Arabidopsis thaliana: one gene and its partners. The protein of the gene in region 1 interacts with the protein of each later gene in a pairwise test. Each region holds a gene or a part of one and is shown in the gene's direction. Other genes may lie near its edges.

Region 1 (5,448 bases):
GATGACGGAGACTTCATTTCCTGCTCCTGTGACACCGCCTCCTAGAATTGCTCATCCACCACTGAATCCTGAAGAATTGAGAGCTGCGTATCCATACTATGCATCAGTTAGAGATACTCATACATTACATGTTGGAGAATCTAGTACTGCAAGACAACAATGGTCATCGAGTTCTAGTACCACTCCAACAAGAGCAGACACTCCTAATCATGATAACAACAGAGTCTTTGAAGTCGGTCAATCCTCAAGAAGACAGGAAGTAAGAAGAGAAGCAGAGGATCCTAGACTTCAAACTCGTCTACACAGTGCTTCAAGAATGGGAGAGAGTCTGAAACCTCCCAAAAAGAGATAACCACTCTAACAAGACTTCTGTCAATTTTTGTTGAAGACTACAGGGAATCTAGGATAGCAGCTTCAAGTAGTTGGATATGTTTTTTTGGTTCTGACATATCCTTAACTTTGTTAAGTTTCAGGTTTATTATTTCATGTTTCTCGTTTTACTTCTAAGATCATCTTGTTATGTTTGAATCAAAGGTTTGTAAGTGGTTAGACCACTCAAACACTTTTTGTAAGAACACAATGACATGAATGAATGAAAGATAACTTTTAGGGAAAAAAAAAAAAAAAAACGAAAGAAATAGACAGTGAATTTGATGGGCCTTTGGGCTTTAGCGTAATTGTGAATGAGCTCATTTATTCATTGTCGTAATTTATGGTTTGTTCTCTCATGTGCCAATGAAGTCCGTATGTGTGCTAGCAAGCAAACGATGGTATTGGCCTAACTTTTCGTAGAGATTCTATAAAATTATGTGAAATGCAAAGACCAAATAAGTTTGGGTATAGAATCTCCAGCTACTTTTTAAAATACAAAATAATGATACCAGAGTACAGAAATTTAATAGACAGTAGAAATTGCACTTTAATTTCGGGTAGAAGATATCATTAAACTATAGGAAAAATTGATTAACCAAAAAAAGGTCAACAATGCTACAATACGATTCACTTCAAAATATTTGTAATACACTACCAAAGCTAGATTTGATTCATACTCACAGATCTTCCAACGTCTATAACTAAAGAACATAAACACATATATGACATGCCCTACTGCTTTTTACCTCATCCCTTGTCTCTTTTCTTCCCTACTGTCTCTTTCATTTCTTCTCTCCCTTTGGTTTAAGCCTTTTGGTAATGATAATCAGGCTGCGATACTTTGTTACAGCATGAGCAGAGATGCTTGACTTGAGAGATGCTTGACTTGAGTTGCTTCCCTTTGTTAACCCGAAGATCCTCTACATGGTTAACAAAAGCATAAACTCTACCACAATTCTCAACCGCTTCAAGGTTAGCTCCAAAATCTTGGATTTCAACGCTCTGGAGAGTGTTCCTCTCGGGATTGAAGTAGAACACATAAAACGGTTTACATGTATATTTCATACACAAAACAATATCACCTCTAGTAGTCACTCCAGCAACTGAAAAGTCGCAGGAATCAAGGACTTCATTCTCCGGCAGAGTGTACACATATTTAACCCATTCATGCTTCTCGGCATCCTCTAGAACCCACATACGCAACTCAACGGTGCGCCTTTCACCAGCTTGACCATACTTCCAATTAATCCCACTTAATTTACCCTCATAGTTTACCAAAATCAACCCACTAGTATCATCAAGTTGATCATTAAAGCATCCTGCGTCAAAATACTTAAATTCCTCAGACCTTACATCAAAGCAAATGATCACACAAGACGGTACACCAAGAGTCTGAGCTAAGTAATACAAAACTCCATTGATACATATTCCTTCACTCAAAGAACGATCATATGCAGGACAACTAATGATATTACTCCTCCAGCTCAGTTCCTCAGTTCCTAATGTCAGAATCTCATGATGTTCCCTTTGATCAGAAAATGGATAAGCCTCAGACAATACCTTGAATTGCTTACCAATGGGATCAAACCCTAGAAAGCCTCGAGCATTTTTGTACCTCATCAGATCAGGTAAGCTCTCATACATTCCTGTGGTAGGGTTACAAATCACAGGCGATGCATCTTTTGAGAGCCACAAATCAGGGAAACAGAGCAAACCTGAGACATAGCTACAAATGAATCGGCTTACGTCTCCTGAGAATTTTGTATGATAATCCAAATGAGAAGACTTCTCATATCGATTCTGTGGCTGCGGCGACGAGAAGAAGAGCCACTCACCATTTCGTTCGGCAGCAAACAGCAGACGTGGACGATTCGAGGATCTGGTCAGGAAGAGCTCGGTGAAAACTGGACTGCGAAGCATAGACGCCCAGTGCTTCGACAAGGTACGAAATCCAATGACTGACTTCGCCGGCAATCTCGAGAAGATCTCGAGAATGAGATCATTTGGGATTGGTTCCATGAAGAAGCGTTTATTGCCGCCGGAGTGTGTGATTGTTTCGTCGGAGAAGGAGAAGGTTTAATACGACGCAACAAGATTGGGATTGTATGGGCCTTTGGGCTTTAGCATAGTTGTGAATGAGCTAAGCCCATTTATTCATTGCGATAATTGGGACTTTTGGTTTGTTCTCTCACGTGCCAATCGGTATGTTAGATATGTGGTAGCGAATGAAGGATTAGTTTTCACAGGGATTCTAAATATCATGTAAAATGTAAAGACCAAATATGTTTTGGTAACTGGTTATGGAATCTCTAGCTACTATTAGCAACAAAAAAAAAAGACAGTAGAGGTAGAGCTTGCTTTTTGATTTAGGATGAAGAACAATTGTTTAATGGCTAAAGCAAAAGCTTAGTATCTGGTGACAAATGTGTCAATACAGAGATAAATTTATTAGGCTTAGCACTCCTTTTTTTGGATTAAACAATCAATAAAAACGAAATAGAAATATAATCAGTTTGTGTTTTTGCTTTAGTGAAACAGAAGAAAATGGGTTCAGTTATTACTTTTTCTTTATTTTTTGGGATTTGTGTAGAATTATGTACAAGTCATATACTATTAAAATAAATGGGATTAGGGAACAATGTGGTGAGTTAAATGTGATGGTAAGAGAGGAAGGAAGAAGCATGGGATAATGGTGAAGGGAGCGGCGCTTAAATCTGAAAATCTCGAGAATGAAGAAAACACGTCACTTCACTCTCACGATCGAACATGTGATTCTTGTGTGCTGCGACGACTCGTGACTCTTGCCTCTCTTTTTCTCATGCATGGCTCTCCGATTCTCCGACGAAAGAAGGAAACAACAAAAAGATAAAGATGAGATATCGTAAAAGCTTTAAAGCTTTAAAGTGTCCTCAAGAAAAATAATTCTAGGAACCCAAAAAACCTTGTCTCGCTAGATATCTTGGTAACATGTACAAGTAAAATATTAGAGCTAGTCATAACAAAGAAAAACAAAAAAAAAAACATTTGAGTTCCTGATGATTAACAGAAATTTTTGAACATAATAATCCAAAAAAAAAAAAAATGTGTGTGTGCAATTGTTCTAACTTCTTAAGCTATCATCAAAAAGGTGTAATAACTAATAAGGTTGGCATTGCGACTGTTTGGAATGCAGGGGACACCAAGAACTAGGGATTATATTATTCTAGTTTGAGCCTAGGTAGAAGAATTATATAAATATGAAGTTGAGATCAAAAATGGTTAAAAGTTTTTTTTTTTTTTTTTCTTTTGAAAATAACAGAATATGAGAAAAGCAACGGTCACATGCGCGGGTGAAAAAAGCAATTCTCTAGGAATTGAAGCGAACCGTGACATTATTTAAGCACTCACATACTCTTTCTAAGCTCCATTATCATATCCTCTTCTTCCTTCTTCACTATCAATCTTCTTCTCCACTACAACACAAATGGAGAAATCATCCTCAATGAAACAATGGAAGAAGGGTCCTGCTCGGGGTAAAGGCGGTCCACAAAACGCTCTTTGTCAGTACCGTGGAGTCAGGCAAAGGACTTGGGGCAAATGGGTGGCTGAGATCAGAGAGCCCAAGAAGAGGGCAAGACTTTGGCTTGGCTCTTTCGCTACAGCTGAAGAAGCAGCTATGGCTTATGATGAGGCTGCCTTGAAACTCTATGGGCACGACGCATACCTCAACTTACCTCATCTTCAGCGGAATACAAGACCTTCTCTGAGTAACTCTCAGAGGTTCAAATGGGTACCTTCAAGGAAGTTTATATCTATGTTTCCTTCATGTGGTATGCTAAACGTGAATGCTCAGCCTAGTGTTCACATAATCCAGCAAAGACTAGAAGAACTCAAGAAAACTGGACTTTTATCTCAATCCTATTCTTCTAGTTCTTCCTCCACCGAATCAAAAACTAATACTAGCTTTCTTGATGAGAAGACCAGCAAGGGAGAAACAGACAATATGTTCGAAGGTGGTGATCAGAAGAAACCAGAGATCGACCTGACCGAGTTTCTTCAGCAACTAGGAATCTTGAAGGATGAAAATGAAGCAGAACCAAGTGAGGTAGCAGAGTGTCATTCCCCTCCACCATGGAACGAGCAAGAAGAAACTGGAAGTCCTTTCAGAACTGAGAATTTCAGCTGGGATACCCTGATCGAGATGCCAAGAAGTGAAACCACAACTATGCAATTTGACTCCAGCAACTTCGGAAGCTATGATTTTGAGGATGATGTATCCTTCCCTTCCATCTGGGACTACTACGGAAGCTTAGATTGAGTAAAAGCAATTTAAGGTAGATCAAGATTCAGAAGTACACAAATGGTTTTGGATTTAGTGTAGCGTTTTGGAAAAGAGACATAGGTAGTGAGAGTGCAGTCTTTTATTATGCAGCAATAAAGTGAGTCAGTGTACAACCGAGTTGTTCGCTTTTTTTGGTATATTAATGAAGCATGTTCATTTTTTCGCTATCCTTTAGCTCGATAGTTTAAATAGTAAGTGAAAGTCACGGCCCTAATAGAATGATATGTTTTGTGCAAGTAACAATGCAAAAAAGCTTACCTATCATATCCCCTTTCATGGAGATCACATCTAATATCTCAATAATACTAGAAACTCATGATCAATAAATAAAGATCATGATGGTATGAACAAATTTTTAAGATTCGCCTTCGAACTGACCAACGCAAACTTTCTGTCGAGAAAAGAAAACAACAAAACTGAATAACCTAGAGACATATCACACGATGCATAAACTCCCACCAGAAAGTTTCACCTGCCAGCACTGATCAAAATCTGAAGAAATTTGCTAAGTATAGATAACATCCACAGATATTCAACAAGCATAAACAGCAGCTACAATGAACCTTCACGACTTTCTCAGGTTTAAGACATAAAAGGATCTCTTATCAATGGAACGAATAGAGTAAGATCAAACACGAAAGCTTAAACATTATGAATATAGCAACCTCACTGCTTAAGCACAGAATTCCTCTTCATTCCAATATTAGAAACAATGCAACAGATACACTAGTCATTCCAAAGAGAGTAATAATTCT
Region 2 (5,495 bases), on another chromosome or scaffold:
GTAGCCTGAAAAATGGCGTCAGTGGGTATAGCTCCTAATCCTGGAGCAAGAGACTCTACTGGTGTTGATAAATTGCCTGAAGAAATGAATGACATGAAAATTCGTGACGATAAAGTATGTTTCCATGCGTTGTAGTATAGTTTTTGGTATGTATTTCATGAGAATCTAAATAATGGATTGTGGTTTGTTAGGAAATGGAAGCGACAGTGGTAGATGGAAATGGAACAGAGACTGGACATATCATTGTGACTACTATTGGTGGTAGAAATGGCCAACCAAAACAGGTTTTTGATTCTTCTTCTTTGCAAAAAACTGTTCTTTTAATCTTCTTAAGTTAGTTGATTGGTTAGTGTTTCGTGTTTTTATTAATTTTTCTACAATGTCAATGCAGACAATTAGCTACATGGCTGAGCGTGTTGTTGGTCACGGATCTTTTGGTGTTGTGTTCCAAGTGAGTTTTTGTTAGCTTATCATCTCTCACGTTTTACATCATGTATCTATCAATTGACTGAATTGGATTCCTCTGTATTTTCTTATGTGATTTAGGCGAAATGTCTTGAGACAGGAGAAACTGTTGCGATAAAGAAAGTTTTACAAGATAGGAGGTACAAGAACCGTGAGCTTCAAACCATGAGGCTACTTGACCATCCTAATGTTGTGTCTCTGAAACATTGTTTCTTCTCAACCACTGAAAAAGATGAGCTTTACCTCAATCTTGTTCTTGAGTACGTTCCAGAAACTGTTCATCGTGTTATCAAACACTACAACAAACTGAATCAGAGAATGCCTCTTATATACGTCAAACTTTACACTTATCAGGTATCAATTATTACATTTCTGTTAGATTTAGAGTTATGTTTTGGATCTCTTATCGGATTTCTCTATGTTTGGCAGATTTTTAGAGCCTTATCTTACATTCACCGATGCATTGGTGTGTGTCATCGTGACATAAAACCTCAAAACTTGTTGGTATGTACAAGTTAAATAAACAGGAGCTCACAGTATACCCGGGAATATACTTTTCTTCATTGTCTAATGCTACTTTTTTCACCTGTAATGGAACAGGTAAATCCGCACACTCATCAAGTAAAGCTATGTGATTTTGGAAGTGCAAAAGTATTGGTGAGTTTGATAAACCTCTTCCGGGTACTTTGTTTCTTGGAAAAAGTTAGATTCAATCTTGTTGATCATTGTAATATCTGAAAACAGGTAAAAGGAGAACCAAACATTTCCTACATCTGCTCGAGGTATTACAGAGCACCTGAACTTATTTTTGGAGCAACCGAGTATACGACAGCCATTGATGTCTGGTCTGCAGGATGTGTTCTAGCTGAACTATTGCTTGGACAGGTAATGCATTAAATCTTATTCAAACATTTTTGTTCTACTTAACCTGGAATTTTGTGATTGACAAACTCTATTCTCTGCTCATGACAGCCCTTGTTCCCTGGTGAGAGCGGTGTTGATCAACTTGTAGAGATTATCAAGGTATAAGCTTTGCACTTGTTCACTTTGATAACAAGTTCTTGTTTTCAATAATACTGAGAGAAGATTTGATGTAATGTTTTTTGTTATGCTTTGGGGTAGGTCTTGGGAACGCCTACTAGAGAAGAAATCAAGTGCATGAACCCAAACTACACGGAATTCAAATTCCCTCAGATTAAAGCTCATCCATGGCACAAGGTAGAAATAAACTTATATTCATCAAATCAACTTGTCAATGTGTTATTCAGTAGCAGTTACAGTCAATGTGACAATATCTACTCGTCATAATATATTCACAGATTTTCCACAAACGCATGCCTCCAGAAGCTGTTGATTTGGTCTCAAGACTTCTTCAATACTCTCCTAATCTACGAAGTGCCGCTGTGAGTATTACTTACAAATTCAACATTCTTCTGTGAATCTTCTCGATGGTCCTTTCATTTCCTATTTTTCTTTTGTCTGACTTGCTTTTACTTGAATCGTAAACCTGATCACAGCTCGACACATTAGTCCACCCATTCTTTGATGAGTTAAGAGACCCAAACGCACGTCTACCTAATGGACGTTTCCTTCCACCGCTTTTCAACTTCAAGCCTCACGGTACAACATCTCCCTTTCCTAATGGTGTTTATCTCCAACTTACCTGTAAAATCATCAAAGTTTTACCTTACTAAAGCTATACCTGTAATTGTTGTGAAACAGAGCTGAAAGGTGTACCATTGGAGATGGTAGCTAAGTTAGTACCTGAGCATGCAAGGAAGCAGTGTCCTTGGCTCGGTTTGTGATTTCCTCTTAATGTAGCATGAACACAACAAACACTTCTTATAAATTACCTCTCTATGTATCAATATGTCACAAACTGATATGCACCCTTTGTTTGTTGTATGAGTAGAGAAAAAAAGAGTTATTACTATGGTTGGTTGGTTCATAATGTAAAAGCCCACCAAGATTTTTTATCTAGATAAAGAGTTTGCTACTTCTGCTTTTGTATCTTCTTCTTCCTCTGCAACATCATCAAACAAAGACCCTAAAAGTCACTGTAGCAAATACAAGTATCCTCACGCGCCTAAAACTAATAAAAGCCAAAACTTTTTGATTCTACGAGTCGTCGTCGTCATCGCCGGAAGATGCCGTCGGGGAAATATTACTGTGATTATTGCGAGAAAGAGTTTCAAGACACTCAAGTCGCTAGAAAACGCCATCTTCAAAGCAAACCTCATCTTCGAGCTAAAGCCCTTTGGTACAGTTCTTCTTCCTCAGGTATCTCTCTTCTCTCTTTTTTCTCTCTGTTTCTTAAAGGAACGATTTTTAACATCTCTGTTTCTTTTAATACGAAATTCTTAGATCTTGTTAATCCACAAGTCTCCAATTTTGCGACGAAAGGTCTCTGCAATCGATTCATTACCTCGGTACGTCGGATTGATTTTGTTTCGCTATGTTCATCATTCCTAGCAATCTCTGGATGTGTAAAGTCTTGTCCTTTTCGTTTATATTCTGGTGGAATCACACATTTTACATTGCTTTGTTTGATTCTGCAAAAAAATTCATTGCATATGTGTGTATGTATGTAATCTTCCAAGTAAAGTCTGTTCCTTTCTTAATGGGTTTTGCAGAATTTTTGCCCATTTGGAGATTCTTGCAGATACTTCCATCCTAACAACAATACAGGAAGCACAGGTTAGGTCAAAACCTGTTGATTTTTGACTTCAGTGATTTGGTCTCTTTTAGGCTACTTAAAGCTTTAAAGAAGTCTCTACTATGCGCAAGATTTGCTTAAAACATCATCCTCTTGTTGAATTCAAATGCAGGATTCACAAATAATACACAACTTCGTGTTGACATGCTTAACCAACAACACATCCAAGGAAGTACTTTAAACCGTATGCGTTCTTGTTTTTTCGTCATTCAAGTTCTCTAATATTTAAGCATTTATAGAAAATCTGATGTTGGAAGTTTGAATTGTCTAAAACAGGTGATTTTGTTAGTGGGAGACCAGGAACAGGTTGGTTTGATCTTCCGCCATCGCTAAAACCGCCTCCTGAGCAAGGCTATCCTCAGCTTCCCTTCATAGACTGGGGATAGATATAAATTCTCTGAATAATGCTCAGTTTCAACATTGATGATTCTACTTGAAAGGAAAAGACTAATCTTTGTCTCGTTGTGCTCTGCCATTACCAAGCTTTTAGCCACAAGCTTGTCTCTTTTCAGACTCGAGGTTGGAAGAATGTCAACCAAATTGTCGTCTTGTTACTCAATTTGTCGTCAACTTTAGAGACATTGTTCGGAGTTTGGACATGGCAAATTTGCAATTTAACATACTGTGCGATATTCTGATAAAATTCTTTAAATTTCGTTGGCTCGTCCCTATTCATTGCGTGATGATAGGATATCGCTAATTCGCTATCCGCTTCCTGGCCATGTGCTAAACAAGACTTCCCAAGCCAAACTATCAAAATATTTGACAAAGTTGGAGCAATTCCTAAGGCTGTAGATTAATTACAAAGTTGGAACAATTTTTTCCCTAGAAAATACATTATTGAGAAACAGAGTATAAGTTGGCTAAAAGAAAAATCAGATTGTTCAGAATCAAATATTTAAATTATTAACTTCATTTTCATTTCTTCAACTCCATAAAATAGAACTAATTTTAAACTCTTTATTGTTGAGAGAAATATCTTCGAATCTCCTAAGAGTAATTTAGTCGAGCATGTTGGTTTGAGTTTATAAAAGATAGGTTATGATTTATTAGTTAATATTTCAAATTTATATATTGGTTTTTAGGTTTATAATGGAGGGTTTTAGTTTATTTTTTATTTTAATTATGAACAAAGTAAATAGTTTGAGTTTATAAAGAAGAGTTTGATTAGCGTATTATAATTACTTATATGTCGGTTTAGGTTTAAGATTTTATAATTAAAGATTATATTTCTGTTAGGGTTTTAGGGTTTCAGGGTTATAATTAAAGGTTATATCTTATATTTCAGTTAGGATTTTATAATTAAAGGGATAGTTAAGGTTTTAGATCTTGTAATTAAATGTTATATTTCTGTTTAGATTTATAAAAAAGATTAGGATTTAGATTTTACGATTAAACGAGATTATAAGTCAATTTGAGTTTATAAAAGAATGCTTAGGGTTTGGATTTTACAACTAAATTCAATTAAATGTGGTTAAATAATTGTTTACGTTTTTATAAAAGAGTGATTATGGATTAGATTCTATAATTAAAAGAATTTAATTCTTGGGAGATTTGCAAAACTACCCTTTTGCAACAATACCCTTATATGTGGTTCTTTTTTAAAAATACCTTTTCCCTTGAACAGAATGACCAAATTACCCTCATCTAATAGTAACATGTAATTGGAAACTGAAATTTTCCCGCCATATTTTTTTTTTCCCGCCAAAAAAAACAATACCGCCAAACTTTTTTCCCGCAAAAAAATAAATTCCCTCCAAAAAAAAATTTCTCGCGAAATTTGTTTTCCGTAATATTTTTTTTATCAGCCAAAAATTAAAAATCCTTGTAAATTTTTTTTGCGGGAAATAGATTTACAAGAGATTTTTAAAAGATTTTAAAAGATTTACAAGGGATTTTAAAAGGATTTAAAAAAATTTACAAAGGATTTTAAAAGATTTACAAAGGATTTTAAAAGGTTTTAAAAAGATTTACAACAGTTTTTAAAGGGTCTTCTTGTAAATTCTTTAAAAATCTTTTAAAAACATTTGTACATTTTTCAAAACCCTTTAAAAATCTCTTGTAAATATTTTAAAACTCTTTTAAAATCCCTTGTAACTCTTTTAAAACACTTTTTAACCCTTTAAAAAGCTTATGTAAATCTTTTAAAGCTCTTTAAAATCCATTGTATATATTTTAAAACCCTTTTAAAATTTCTTGTAAATCTCTTAAAACTCTTTTAAAATTCCATAAAATATTTTTAAACCCTTTAAAAATCTTTAAAAAACCTTTGTAAATCTTTTAAAGTCCTTTAAAATCCTTTGTAAGTATTTCA
Region 3 (6,950 bases), on another chromosome or scaffold:
TTGATATTGTTTGTGATGAAGGTGGGTTTACTTGATACATCAATCTCTTTTTAATTCCCCAGAACGTCATGGTCAATAACCAAGTTTTTTGTTGTTTGTTTGTCTCAGACTGTTTCGGTTGGAAGGCGGAGATTCAGCGCGAGTTTTCAGCTGATGTTCCGGTTGATAAAGGGGCTGATATTCATGACGTTTATCGCAATTATTGTGATATTGATCACACTGGCTCACATGACGATACAAGACATAATTGTGTGTATCCTTGCCTTTATGCCCACAGGTTGGGGGATGCTCTTGGTAAGTAAAAAAAAAAGCTTTTCACTGGAGTCCTATTAAAATGGAAATGTTGTGCGTGTGTGGATAAAAACAAGACTAACACTTGGTGTGTGTTTGCAGATTGCGCAAGCGTGTAAGCCGGTGGTTCATAGAGCAGGATTCTGGGGATCAGTGAGGACCCTAGCTCGTGGATACGAGATAGTAATGGGACTGTTGCTGTTCACGCCAGTGGCGTTCTTGGCATGGTTTCCATTTGTGTCAGAGTTCCAAACGCGTATGCTCTTTAATCAAGCTTTCAGTAGAGGTCTTCAGATCTCTCGTATCCTTGGAGGTCATCGTAAGGATCGCTCTTCTCGAAACAAGGAATGATTCATCTCTTCATTGTAATGACAGGGAAGGGATCTTAATTTATCCCTTTTTTATCTTCATGGATGATTAGGGTTAATGTAATTTAGTTTTCAATATATCGCTTAGGTAAAAACATTGTAGTATTCATCTATAAATTAGACGTTATCTATCATTTAATGACTGTTTAATTATTTAGTTGAAGACCTCCATTGGTCCATGTCGAGGAAGATAAGGAACTTACTAACAACTTTTGCTTGGCCTATAAGATACAGCGACAACAAAGCTTTCAAAAATTCCCTAGTTACCAACTGGGTTCATTAATGGGCCGATAAGGAAAGCCCACGATCTTCTAAGAAGGATTAGCCCTAGTTTCCTCTGCTTCGTTGAAAGACAACTTAAAAAATGGCGGGAAGTTGTGACAATGTTTGGTTCGACAAATAAGCGGAGACGTGGCGGCGATACGTGGCACCACGACATTTGTACGAGAATGATAATTTGTCTTGGTTCGAGCCAGCCTGTAAACGGTAATCTGTGTCCGTACAGCTTAAATCTCATCCCAAAAAGAACAACCAAAATGACGGATTTGGCCCCAACAAAGCTGTAAAACGAGGTTAAAACCCGGAACTTTCACCTTATTAGACGACGACACACCTCTCGTCACTCTTGTCGAGACTCTTACCACAAAGAGGTTTTTGAAATGGCGGCGATGAAATACAAAGGAAGCGTTTTTATCATATTAGTCATCCTTCTTCTTTCGTCCTCACTACTTGCTCACTCTTCTTCTACAAAATGTAAGTGTCATGTGATATGTTTAATAATATTCTCATCTTTATTCATCGTTTGGGTTCAAAACATGATGAATCAATCCTCTTTGTTCTTTTTGTTTCTAGCCTTCTTTTGGTTAGGAGAAACACAAGATACGAAAGCCATGAAAAAGGTAAGAAAATCTCTTCCTAGAAACACAACGCGACTGTTTTGAAGGAAATGAACAATTCGTTTCTTATTTTTACAATAAAAAGTATGAAACTTTTTGTTTTCTAGCTAGCTCTTTGCATTTGATATTCGTTTGTATTTTTCTATATGATTTTGATGCAAAGATGATTAATTTTTTGTTTTGGTACTGAAAACAGGAGAAGAAGATTGATGGAGGAACAGCTAATGAAGTTGAAGAAAGACAAGTTCCAACTGGATCCGACCCTCTTCATCATAAACACATTCCTTTTACTCCATAGATTCATTCCTTATATCTTTTTTCTGTATCTTCTGTTTCCCATTGTTGACATATTAGTTTGTAATGCTTTTCACATTCTAGTTTTGAGTTTTGTTTATCCGAATGTTAAATTTCTATTTCAGGTTGAAAATGATTAACTTCGTTATTTACTATAGAGTATTTCAATTACTTCAGCCAAGATTTTGTGGATGCTTTGGAAAGATGCCAAAGCGTAACAACTTCCAATTCAATTTTTGTGATGAGTTAGTTCTCAAGATGAAGTCGGAAGCATTCGTGACATCAATTGTATATATAAATTTTGGGTTTAGAGTGTTTTAAGTTGGTATCAAATCACAATTAATTATTCTGTGACATTTGTTTCTAGAAGAAACTTGGGAAAACCGATCTTTTGGATGTGAAGTGGTAGATTGGTTGTCTAAGGTTTTGTACTAGAATTTTGTCTGATTTTAGTTTTAAAACGGTAAGATATATTTTCTTTATAAGGACAATATGGTGTATCTAGTTCTAATTTTGTGACTGTATATAGATTTGTTGATGCTAGATTGTTTGTCAATAAAATTATTGCATTGACCTTAATTAGTTTCGGTAGCCAATCGACCACTACTTGTTGAGTTTTGGAGCCACATATTCCCCTTGCATGTTACACCGAGTGACACGACAAATTCATGTTAAACAAAAATAAAAGGATATACGGTTAAACTATTTATTGTACCGCAATAAATAAAGATATTAAATCAGTTTATTTTGGCGCCACAAACAAAGTAGATATAGTGTGTGTTTTTTTGGCTTGTTGATATCAAAATACCTATGTTTTTTTATTGTCTTCTACATTAGCTAAGTCATAATGTGAATCATGTAAATCTTATAATCTATCTTTCAGAATCTTAAGTTGTGTGAGGCACGGGAGAGTCACGTGAGAGTTTTTTTTTTTTTTTCACAAGTCACGTGAGATTTAGATTTGAACAAATCCCGTAACGGAGCAAGCGAGGCACGTGACATACACGCCCCCCTTAGGTCCTATAAATACATCTCCTCCTTTCACTGTCACAAGTAGCGATTCTCTCTGCGGCGCGTGTAAACGGTGACGGGGCTCTAATGGCTAATCTTCCTCCTCCGCTCTCCATGAAATCTGTCGCCCTCTCAGGAGCTTCTTCTCCTTCTTCTTCCTCCAACAACGATCGGAAGCTATCATCGGCGGAGCAGTTAATTCTCGATCTCAGCAATCCCGAACTCAGAGAAAATGCACTTCACGAGTTGTCTAAGGTCATCTCTCTCTCACCGAATTCTCTTACTCGCGAATTTTTGATCGTTTGGGTTTTCGTTTTCTGCGTTCTATTGAATGGAATTTCGAATGTATTTGGTTGTTTAGTCCGGTGAATCGTAGACATGCTTTTAGATTACCGACTCCTAATTCTTCCTTGCCGCAAATTTTGAGGGAATTTGTACGATTATTGTTGAGATTGTAAACCTGCATGAATAGGGGATGAAATTAAATAATCGAAATAGTTCAACACTGATTAAGGCGTTGATCTCGATTGGTGAGCAATTTAAGTTGGTATGAGGATTCTTCACTGAAGTTAAACGTCTGGACAATTAAAAAATCAAATGGTTTTGATGTTTACTGTACTCATTGCTTTTGATTTCATACATTAAGAAGTTCTTCTCACTGAAATTCATGTCTAATCCCGTGTTTCATTATTTCAGAAGAGAGAGATCTTTCAAGATTTGGCTCCGCTTTTATGGCATTCTGTTGGTACCATTCCTGCTCTTCTACAGGTACCCTCTCCTCCATGTTATTATATGGCACTTGTTCCTTTATTCTTCAGGGGAATTTATTTATTGATTTCTGGCTTCTCTATATACTGTTATAGTTTTAGCATTTTAACTTTTGAGATTTGATGTACATTGTATTGGTTAAGATCTAGTCATTTTCTTTCTTTCCTCTTTTCAGGAGATTATCGCAGTTTACCCTGCCCTATCTCCTCCAACCATGACTCCTGCTCAATCTAACAGGGTGTGCAATGCACTTGCTCTTCTTCAGGTGCATAAAATATTGTCAGTTTCCTCTTTCTTTTTTAGGGAGACTTACAAACGTTTATATATGTATGTTCAATTTGGAAGACTCTATTTTTTATTGATTCGACTCTTTTTTCGTACATCCAGTGTGTTGCTTCTCATACTGATACGAGAATGTTGTTCCTAAAAGGTACAGTCCTGTGCCCGAACAATTCTTCCTTAGTTCTCATTCAAATAATTTCGGTGTTTGCTCTGTGACTAAAGTTATAGAGATAGATTGCATTAGTTGAATACCCAACCCGTCTACCAAAACTAGTTTTAAGAGCCACCTTGTTGGTCTCTTTCTGATTGATCTCATTTATTAGATGTGTGTTTGGCTATAATATGCTTAAAGTTTAAAGTCTGTTGCTTTTCAAAATACAGCCCATCTGCCATTGTACCTGTATGCTTTCTTGAATACATCAAGCAAATCAAGACCGTTTGAGTACCTGCGGCTGACTAGCTTGGGGGTTATTGGTGCACTTGTTAAGGTATGTATTGATATTTGAGTTTTGTTTCCTCGTCTAGTTATTTAGTATGTTTATGCCAAAAAGGCAGGAACACTTCTTTTACATGCTAACAACTGTTTGGCTGTAAATAAATATTTTGGTGATTTGAGAAACAACGATTTTAGCATGCTAAGACCTTTGAGTAGATCCTGTTAAGACATCATTAGTGATATTGGTCTTGCAACATCGTTCATTTGGTTTGGTAGGTTGATGATACTGAAGTGATCAGATTCCTTCTTCAAACTGAGATTGTCCCATTGTGCCTCCGGACAATGGAGAATGGCAGCGAGTTATCAAAGACTGTAAGTTTGTCTATCTTCAGATGCTTCTCTTTAGATTCACATGCTTGAAAAATGTATATCAAGTTTCCTATCATTTATACAGCCAGTTGCAAATATCTGAAATCTTTGCTTCATACAAAGAACTTGTATAAGTTTTCTTCTGCAATTGATGTTTCTGATTGGTTTTGGTCATGTACAGTTCATCTGATTGATTTATTTGAACGGTTATGTCAGGTTGCTACTTTCATTGTTCAGAAAGTTTTGCTGGACGATGTTGGGCTTGAGTACATGTGCACGACAGCGGAGAGATTCTTTGCTCTGGGTCGGGTTTTGGGAAATATGGTTACTTCACTTGCAGAAGGACCGTCCGCTAGGCTACTAAAGCACATCATACGCTGCTATCTTCGCTTGACAGATAACCCCAGGTGCAATAATTATCCATTTTCCTTCATTTGAAAACCATATTATACACTCGTGCTTACACAATACAGTTACTGATGACATTCAGAGCATGCGATGCACTTGGAAGTTGCCTTCCAGATCTTCTGAGGGATGCTACTTTCAGTGGTTGTCTCTATGTAAGTGTCATATCTCTTGATAGCATCATAACCAATTATTAGTGATTCTGATACCAAATTGTTATCTATCAGTTTATTGTTATCACGACTCAATTCTTTTGATACTTGAGACTTGACTGTTTTTAGCTAATCGTCTCACTTAATTTGGCAGGATGACCCACCTGCAATGCAATGGCTGCAGCAACTGCTCCACAACGTTAACGTTGGCGGGAGAGCACCTCAAGGGTTGGCTCATATGTTTGTGAATTAAATCGAACCCTTATAGTCTGGGCAGAAACTGTTATTCATTGGACAAAAAAAGTTAGTTGGAAACAGAATTACAGATGAGAAACAGAAACCCAACCAAAGATTTTGAGTTTGATGGATATATGTATTTGGATTTCTTGACCGTCTTATGATGTTGCAATCAATATAACTAAAATTCCATTGAAAAGACCGAATTAAGCATTAAACCCAAAGTTTTTTTAAATCCAACAAACGTTTTACAAAAGCTGATGCAGATAAATTTATCTATAATAGACTGTCAGATCTTGCAGGTAGCCTCCTGAAGAGATTGAGCGGCACAGAGGGTAGCTTGTGCCTGAACCTTGGATGCCTCAGCACATAGATCCCAGCAAGAAGTGCAACAACCTGAAACGGCGTAACATACAACACGATAGCAGCTATGAGACAGAAAAGCACAAACAATGTGGTTGCCCTCGGGTCTCTCCAGCTCAGCAGCGATAAAAACCGCTCTCCCTGTGTTGCTAGATCGCCTATCACGGTCTGAACCCGTCCTCCTATGCTTCTGAGCCGGTCATATCGCATCCGCACAATCTCAGAGGATCGGGAAGTCGGGAAAGTATCAAACTCTTCATCAAGCTCGTCGGGGTGAACAGCGTCTGCATGGGACAACCGTGTGTCCATGTGTGGCGGGTGCCTTGGTCTCCACCGGAAATTCCAGATCCCAATCAAGAAAAGGTACAAGAAAACCGTTGGGAGGATTAATTCCGGGTAAAGAACTAAGATAATGAAAAGAACATGAATGAGAATTGTGGTTATTGGGTTTCTCCAGTTGCAGATCTGATCAAACCATTTTCCAACAGCAATGAGACCACTCAGAACATTCATGATTCTGAAGAAGTTAGCTTTACTCCTCCTCATGCTCCACATATGGGAGTCAACATCGAGCATGTACTCCACAATCTCTTTGCGAAGAGGCGGCTCTGCGCGGTTCAGCCTTGCCGAGACAATGTTCATCGCCTGGTGTCTCAGGCTGTCCAGCTGGAGAACCGATAACGGATGGATGTAATGCATTTTGGGTAGTAATGGCTGAGAATACATATGAAGCATGTTGATGAGAGATAGGCAAGTGAACCGCACAGCTAACTGTATTTCACCTGTCTTCTTGATCCCAGAAGGATGAAAGACGAGTAGCGGATATGAATGAGTGTAGATACGGTCAGCTTCAAGGGTAGAGAGCCGGATTCTCACTTTCCCGATTCTCAAGTCTTTTCCGCTTCCGCCTGGAATGTGTCCGTTGTCGAATGCTCCAAAAGTTATGACAGTGCAGGTGTCAAACACTTCCCATGTGTACTGCTCATTCCATTTAGGCGTAAAACTATCCACGATTGTTCTTGTTCTAATCCATTTCTGCCCATACTTAGCCACGCAATATGCATCTGTTGTCCCCTTC
Region 4 (6,652 bases), on another chromosome or scaffold:
TGAATTTAAGTCGAAGTTTTGATAATCTTAAATGTAACCCCTAAAATACAGTCGATAGTATTTGATGAAACAACTCCCTCATTAAAAATCGATTACTTTTATAAAATAGCTGTAAAATAAATGGCAACCCAAACGAAACAAAAAATATCTATCCCCCGAAACATATTACATATACTCCACATCTTTCATATATGTTTGTTTATCGGTATGTCTTTAATATTATCTCTTCTTACCCCAAAATTATACAACAATCTTTCAAATTACAGACCACTTTCATGGTCGTTGGAAAAAAATAATTCTTCCATAGTCGAGAATATGATTTGCAAAAATGTTATTAAATAATAATCATTCAAAGTATCTTAATAAAAAAACAAAAGAAAAGTGGAATTGGTCCATAACGGTTCGGGGAACTTTTCTATGAACCGGAAACTGAAATTCGTGAGGACGGTACACGTGTTAGGTAAGAACACGATCCGCTCGTGTGTAACAGCCAATGATGTCGTCATTCCACGTCGGTACAAGACTTTTTTTTTGTCGTCAACAGAAGATTTCAAAATTAACGAAACCGTTCCCATAACCGAAACTCACATAAAAACAAGACACAATAAATAAAAAACTTTAGGTACTTTTCTGTCGTTTCTTTGGTTTCTAACGTCTATTCGTGTTATATTTGTTTTATTCTTCATTTATTATTGTTGAATTTAATTCTAGTTCGAGTTCAGTTACATGATTTCTCTCTTTAATCTCTAGTATTTTAATCCATCAAAATTATGTGGTTGCATACTCGATCGAGTTTAGTACAATTACTAAAATATGTAGCTTTGTTTAGTCATATCAAGACTATAGTAAGTTGTTACGCATGAAAGATAATTATTACATTCAAACGAATGACCACTCAATTCTTATATCAAAAAGATACAAAAAACTAAAGTCTACAACTTATAGGTTCAATGGGAGCATAAATAGTCCATATCATTGAATAATAATGGTCTTCAATAGAGTTGGTTGTTCAATTATTATTTTTGGTTTATAAGAAATGAATTGAACTTTTGTTTGTCACCATTCACATTTTCTTCTCTTTTTTGTACTTTTAGTTTTCCTAAAAATTAAAAAAACTATGTTCCCTTCGTACCTAAAACTTACTTTAAAATAACCAATTTGATGATAGTTTTTTTTAAAAAACTTCAACAAAGATTATATATTTCATCCTGAAACAAAAATTACAGCAAAATTTAAATTTAAACTAGTAGCAAAAAATATAGGATGTGCATATGTTTTCTGTTTGCCACGTCTGTTTTCCATTAAATGTACGCACAACATTGTTTGAGTTCAATTAACTATTTAAGTAATAAACAAAAACAATGCTTGAATTTCACTGAATATAGTATATAAGTAAAAATGTATACACCCCAAACGACGTCGAACCCATCGTTCAAAAGATATTGAAGTACTTGAACTAGTTGTTGAGCTAATCATCATATTACTTTATAATTTAACTACACAAAACGAGTTCTTTGAAAGATGCGAATATATATATACACACTTATACGTTATGGAGAGAACAGAAAGCTCATAAAAGCAATTTATTTCTCTCCCTTTAAGATCTTTTCTTGCTTTGTGTCCGAAACAGACAAAAATTGATTCTGTTGTTTTTTCCCATAATTAACTCACACACACACACTTAACGTACGTGCAATATCTGTATGTGTGCATAGTATATACTATAGCCACACGAGCGGTTCAAAAATGTTTTTTGGAGTTTCCGAGACTGTTGAGACTGTGGGGCCTATGGTCATCGAACCCTCCCACACGCACGAGCGGGTCTCGTTTTGCATGCATCTACACTACACGTACCCACCGACTTTTCCAAATCCCTTACTTTTGCACGTGTAGAGAGAGAGAGCTTTGTACTGAAAGTATCTCATTATTCGAAATTTTTCGTGTAAGAGTAAAAACTAAATCGCAACGTACGTGAAGGAAAACGTGAACCTTGAATATTTAATGTTTTCGTGCGGTTTCATTTTAACTATTTAATTAACACAATATTAGTACAATAACAAGCAGCTCTTATGAAGATAGTGATGAAAAATTGTTATAGATCTATCTTGGAATTTTAATGATCGAATTTCGATTTTGTACGACCACCATCGAGGCATCGACTATAAATATAGTTAAAATGTGGTTGCTGAAAAAAAAAAAAAAATGATAAATAAAATGAAACCGCACGTAATTGTATAAAACCATTAGCATGGGATTATTAGGCCACAATTTGGTAATTAACACTTGTAATTCATTTGAATATGCTTTTACAAAACTTTCCCTTCAATTTCTTTTGGTGTGTGAATAAACAGCTATCAATTTTGTTTTTCATGTACATTAAATAACCACTCTGCACTCATCATCATTTTCTAAAATATTCTTCTATATATATTAACTAGCTTGCAAATAAATGTAAATAAAAATATAAATTTCAATAATTTTTTTTAGAGAATCTCTCTTTCCTCTTCCACCATATAAACAGTGAAAAGCCATTCAAGTGCTCTCTCCCTCTATCTCTCTTCTATTTTTAGTTTCTCTTCCCTTAATCCCTAAACCCAGAAACATGAATCCAAATCTCCTTGAGAAAGATCTAAGAGGTAAGGAAACTACAAATGGGTCAATAAGATACAAAGAAGCAAACAACTTCAGATCTCTACCAAACTCACACACTGCTGCTTGTAAAACTTCACTCAACAACCCCTCTATCTCTAGAAACCATCCTCACAACAAATCAGCCTCAGTCTTGGAGTCGGAAGATGAACATGGGAACGAGAGAGGTGAAAACGAAAAGAGTTTAAGAATGAGGGGCAAAAGTGGAATTAACACAAAAGTATGCTCACGAGGACACTGGAGACCAACAGAAGATGCTAAACTCAAGGAGCTTGTTGCCCAGTTTGGTCCCCAAAACTGGAACTTGATTTCTAACCACCTTCTTGGTAGATCAGGTACATTTATTTTACTTAAAATTCTTATTACTTAATTATTTCCTTCACTTTTGTTACTCCAAATTCCGCAAATTTAACTATTTTTATGTAGAAGAAAAATAAGTAAATATATTTAAAAACTTTGGTGAGTTGAGTTTCCAAAGTTATTAGGCATTTTCGTAATTGTGTTTGGATTTTTTTAAAAATAGTTTTTACAAGTTAGACTAAGTTGTATAAGGCATAATGACATAATGCTTGATAGTAACTAATTTTTATAATGTGAGGGACACTTCTTTGACTACAGGCAAGAGTTGTAGATTGAGATGGTTTAACCAACTAGACCCAAGGATTAACAAGAGAGCCTTCACGGAGGAAGAAGAGTTTAGGCTGTTAGCAGCTCATCGAGCCTATGGCAACAAGTGGGCTTTGATCTCTCGTCTCTTTCCAGGTCGTACCGATAACGCTGTCAAGAACCATTGGCACGTCATCATGGCTCGACGGACTAGAGAAAGCCAAAGACAACGTCAACAGCCTCCTCCGACGTTGTCAAGAGACGCTGAAATGACGGTTTCGTCCTCTTGCCGCTACAATCAAGGTAAGTTCATCAATGAAGAAGATGACGACGACGATGTGTCAGCTGTCTCTACTTGTACGACGGAGCTCTCTCTCACTCCGCCTTCTTCAGCTTACCAGCCTCGCTTCTTTAATTACGATAGTACCCTTGCATCAGGTAACATTTTATTTATTTGCTTAAATATTATGTTTACTATGTTTTTTTTTTTTCTCTATTGAAAATATATTATTTTCATGACCCAAGACATTAAAAGTATAGAAACTTGGAATGTTTTTTTTCGTTTTCGGCTTTCTTGAGAAGTGTTTTCGTGAATCTAACTATAATGATCTCGGTCGGTTGGTCGAGATCGTATTGCAATCTTTATTGGGTGTATCGTTGATCATGATCGGTTTATACTTTAACCGGTACTTCCAAATATCATTTGTGGTCTAAATTTAGCTTATTAGATTCCAGTCTTGTTAATTTTTGAATGTTCAAAGCATATAAAATGATAATTTAGGCCGACATGTTGTATAACCGACGACGAGTGACCACTTCCTACACTTTTTCATATACATGGCAATAATTATAAATTTGAATGACTAGAAAAGAAAGAAACTGTTTTTACATCGTAAGAGTACCTATAGGCATAATAATATAAGGAGGTGAAGTACTATTGTCACGTTACTATTTCAATATAACAAAATTTCACGTGGGTGCTGAGAACTTATTTTTCTAATTTTGCAGGCAAAGATGGTCAGTGTGTGCAGAGAGCAGAAGTAAATGGCATATATGGTAAAAAGATGGACCATCAAAATCACCACACAATCTCAGTCAGTGAAAGAAAGGTGGAGATGAAGATGAGGAGTGGCTATTACTACTTTGATTTTCTTGGAGTTGGAGCTTCCTGATTAATTAGTTGCAGAGCTAGGGTTCAATGCTGAGGAATTGTGAGATAAGAAATGGCTTTAGTTTCTTCTATTTTTCCTGGTTAATTAGGCATGTTTGTTTAACATCTTAATTTGGGTTTTGGAAGAAGTAAGCGGTATGAGGGAAAACTGAAAACAAAAACAAAACCTAGAAGTAAAATAAAAAGTTGAATATATAATCAACCTCTTTTCTGTAGAATTAGAATAAGTGTTCATAAAATATTGCAATTTTCCTTACTCACACACGCAAATTTAACATAGATTATGAAACAATAGCAGTAACTAAAACCAGCGAGTTATTTTTGTTGGTAAATTACAAGCTTTGATCATAAACCTATTGCATTTTATAGTGCATTACATGAAGGATGTTATCTGCTATTTTTGGAATGTCACATATATAAATAATTCAGGAATTTCTAAGTAAATAATCAACGTGGGAAATGAGTTCTTGTTTAAATTTAAAATCTCAATTACTCGGCTCGGCTCGGATCCCTATTATCGGATACCAGCTACATTGTTAAGTTGGGCCTAGGACTACAAAAGAAACCCATATATAGACGTACCTTTCATTTACAAAGGGTCCAAAAAGCTCACATAGAAGTGGGCTTACTCGTTTCTTGTCGTAATTTTGAACTTAACCCTACCCTTCTTTCTCTGTTCAAAAAAAAAAAAAAAAAAAACCCTACCCTTCTTTCATTATTATATCAAGTTCACAAAATTGACATCCCCAAGAAGAAAAAATGGTAACTAGCGATCTGTGTCGAGTACTGTATTTGTACTAGTGTACTTTACAAATTGCTATTCATATATAGAAATATACGCACTTTGTTAGTGATATGATTATGATTCGCATTTAAATCATTATATTTGATTTTTCTGTTTAAAAAAAAAATCATAATCATATTACTTACACACTTTACTTTTGGCTCTCTCATTCCGTCATTCATTTAGTTCTTTTTGTTCGTTTAATTGTTCACTTGGTTAGTTAAGAAATTAAAAATGTTCACTTGATAAGATATGTTAAATGTTATCCTCTAGGATAAACAGAAATAATAATCCTCGATCGAGAATGGTATAAAGTACCTTAATACCTTTCATCCATTGGATAAATAGATTAGATCAGCTATGTACTAAGATGATCTATTTACATCGAAAAATCAAGATTTTTGTACATACCAGTTTAATTTTTTGGATTATCTTTAAATATATCAAGTCCGAGGGACATCTTTTTTCCACAAACTAGATCTCTAATTAAGATTTGGCTGTGGAAAAAAAAAATATTAAGATTTGGCTTGTTTTGATAGATAAGGTTTGTGTTCAGGCGAGCAAGAATCGACAAGAAAGCAAAATATCTGACGAGTCCAACATTTATTTAATCTTTTTATTATTACTTATTTGTAATCTAATTATACACGATAGACACGAAATCAATAGAGGTAAAAAAGAAAACAATCGACCGTATATGTTCCCACATAAAACAGCCAGTTCATGTCTGTCTCGGTACCTGTCGATGACAAAAGGAAAACAAATAAAAACAGATTCTTAATTAGGGAATAATTAGAGCATTTTAATTCTTAAAACTGCTAGTTCACTAATTACTGATAATATTGAAAAATGAAAACCCTAACGAGAAATGGTTTAACATCATTTTATATATCCACCGTCTATTCTTTTTTCTTCTTTTTTTGAGCAAAGACACCGTCTATTCATTTGCCAAGAGAGAATATAAATTCCCAAGGTCTCTTCGACCAATGAACTCAATATTTTACAAAATTACTCAAAAGTGGAGTTATTGGTTCTTGTGTTTTTGGCTATATTCTTTATTTTTAAAAATAAATAATATATACTACATATTTATATTTATCAAAACTTGGACCAAATAAAAAAGGTCACATATATACATCCATATATATGAGCTGCATCAATCCGTAAAGCTTAGTTAAATCACAAAACTTCAGTTACAGATATTAATTTCTACAAAAACGATATTCATTTATTACATGCATAAACCGACAAACATCAAATTGATTTATATTTTATTATATTTTCTGCAGAAATATTTTTATGTTATAGTTCCAGAGAGTGAGATGGGTTCTTGAGGTTAATTTCTGCAGACATTAGGACTTGACTATTTATTAGGCTTAAGACCATTTTCTACACACTTTAACATACTAATTTAATAGGAAATACACATAATATCTTATGGT

Evidence for each region.
Region 2: the proteins of AT3G57600 (region 1) and AT5G26749 interact in a two-hybrid assay, tested with the Arabidopsis thaliana proteins (one large-scale study listed by BioGRID).
Region 3: the proteins of AT3G57600 (region 1) and AT5G12980 interact in a two-hybrid assay, tested with the Arabidopsis thaliana proteins (one large-scale study listed by BioGRID).
Region 4: the proteins of AT3G57600 (region 1) and MYB56 interact in a two-hybrid assay, tested with the Arabidopsis thaliana proteins (one large-scale study listed by BioGRID).

What each region holds. Positions count from the first base shown.
Region 1 is NC_003074.8:21,329,006-21,334,453, forward strand, and holds AT3G57600 (Integrase-type DNA-binding superfamily protein), read left to right. Parts: upstream 1-3,768; 5' UTR 3,769-3,835; coding exon 3,836-4,669; 3' UTR 4,670-4,913; downstream 4,914-5,448. Other genes in the region: AT3G57587 (Ta11-like non-LTR retrotransposon), read left to right, coding at 1-352; AT3G57590 (F-box and associated interaction domains-containing protein), read right to left, coding at 1,177-2,391. UniProt on the Arabidopsis thaliana protein: Transcriptional activator that binds specifically to the DNA sequence 5'-[AG]CCGAC-3'. Binding to the C-repeat/DRE element mediates high salinity-inducible transcription.
Region 2 is NC_003076.8:9,396,357-9,401,851, reverse strand, and holds AT5G26749 (C2H2 and C2HC zinc fingers superfamily protein), read left to right. Parts: upstream 1-2,584; 5' UTR 2,585-2,612; coding exon 2,613-2,745; intron 2,746-2,829; coding exon 2,830-2,951; intron 2,952-3,098; coding exon 3,099-3,162; intron 3,163-3,293; coding exon 3,294-3,365; intron 3,366-3,457; coding exon 3,458-3,567; 3' UTR 3,568-3,837; downstream 3,838-5,495. Other genes in the region: SK 11 (shaggy-related kinase 11), read left to right, coding at 13-114, 192-284, 392-451, 547-819, 895-969, 1,066-1,122, 1,210-1,350, 1,438-1,488 and 4 more.
Region 3 is NC_003076.8:4,104,137-4,111,086, reverse strand, and holds AT5G12980 (Cell differentiation, Rcd1-like protein), read left to right. Parts: upstream 1-2,854; 5' UTR 2,855-2,947; coding exon 2,948-3,115; intron 3,116-3,556; coding exon 3,557-3,628; intron 3,629-3,803; coding exon 3,804-3,893; intron 3,894-4,015; coding exon 4,016-4,058; intron 4,059-4,291; coding exon 4,292-4,398; intron 4,399-4,622; coding exon 4,623-4,718; intron 4,719-4,931; coding exon 4,932-5,122; intron 5,123-5,205; coding exon 5,206-5,275; intron 5,276-5,426; coding exon 5,427-5,525; 3' UTR 5,526-5,704; downstream 5,705-6,950. Other genes in the region: GSL12 (glucan synthase-like 12), read left to right, coding at 1-21, 109-294, 394-642; CLE40 (CLAVATA3/ESR-RELATED 40), read left to right, coding at 1,319-1,412, 1,512-1,558, 1,752-1,853; AT5G12970 (Calcium-dependent lipid-binding (CaLB domain) plant phosphoribosyltransferase family protein), read right to left, coding at 5,786-6,950.
Region 4 is NC_003076.8:5,874,645-5,881,296, forward strand, and holds MYB56 (myb domain protein 56), read left to right. Parts: upstream 1-2,468; 5' UTR 2,469-2,602; coding exon 2,603-2,984; intron 2,985-3,267; coding exon 3,268-3,693; intron 3,694-4,263; coding exon 4,264-4,427; 3' UTR 4,428-4,687; downstream 4,688-6,652. Other genes in the region: WOX12 (WUSCHEL related homeobox 12), read right to left, coding at 5,932-5,949. UniProt on the Arabidopsis thaliana protein: Acts as a cell-specific local repressor of quiescent center (QC) self-renewal by cell divisions in the primary root. Counteracts brassinosteroid (BR)-mediated cell division in the QC cells.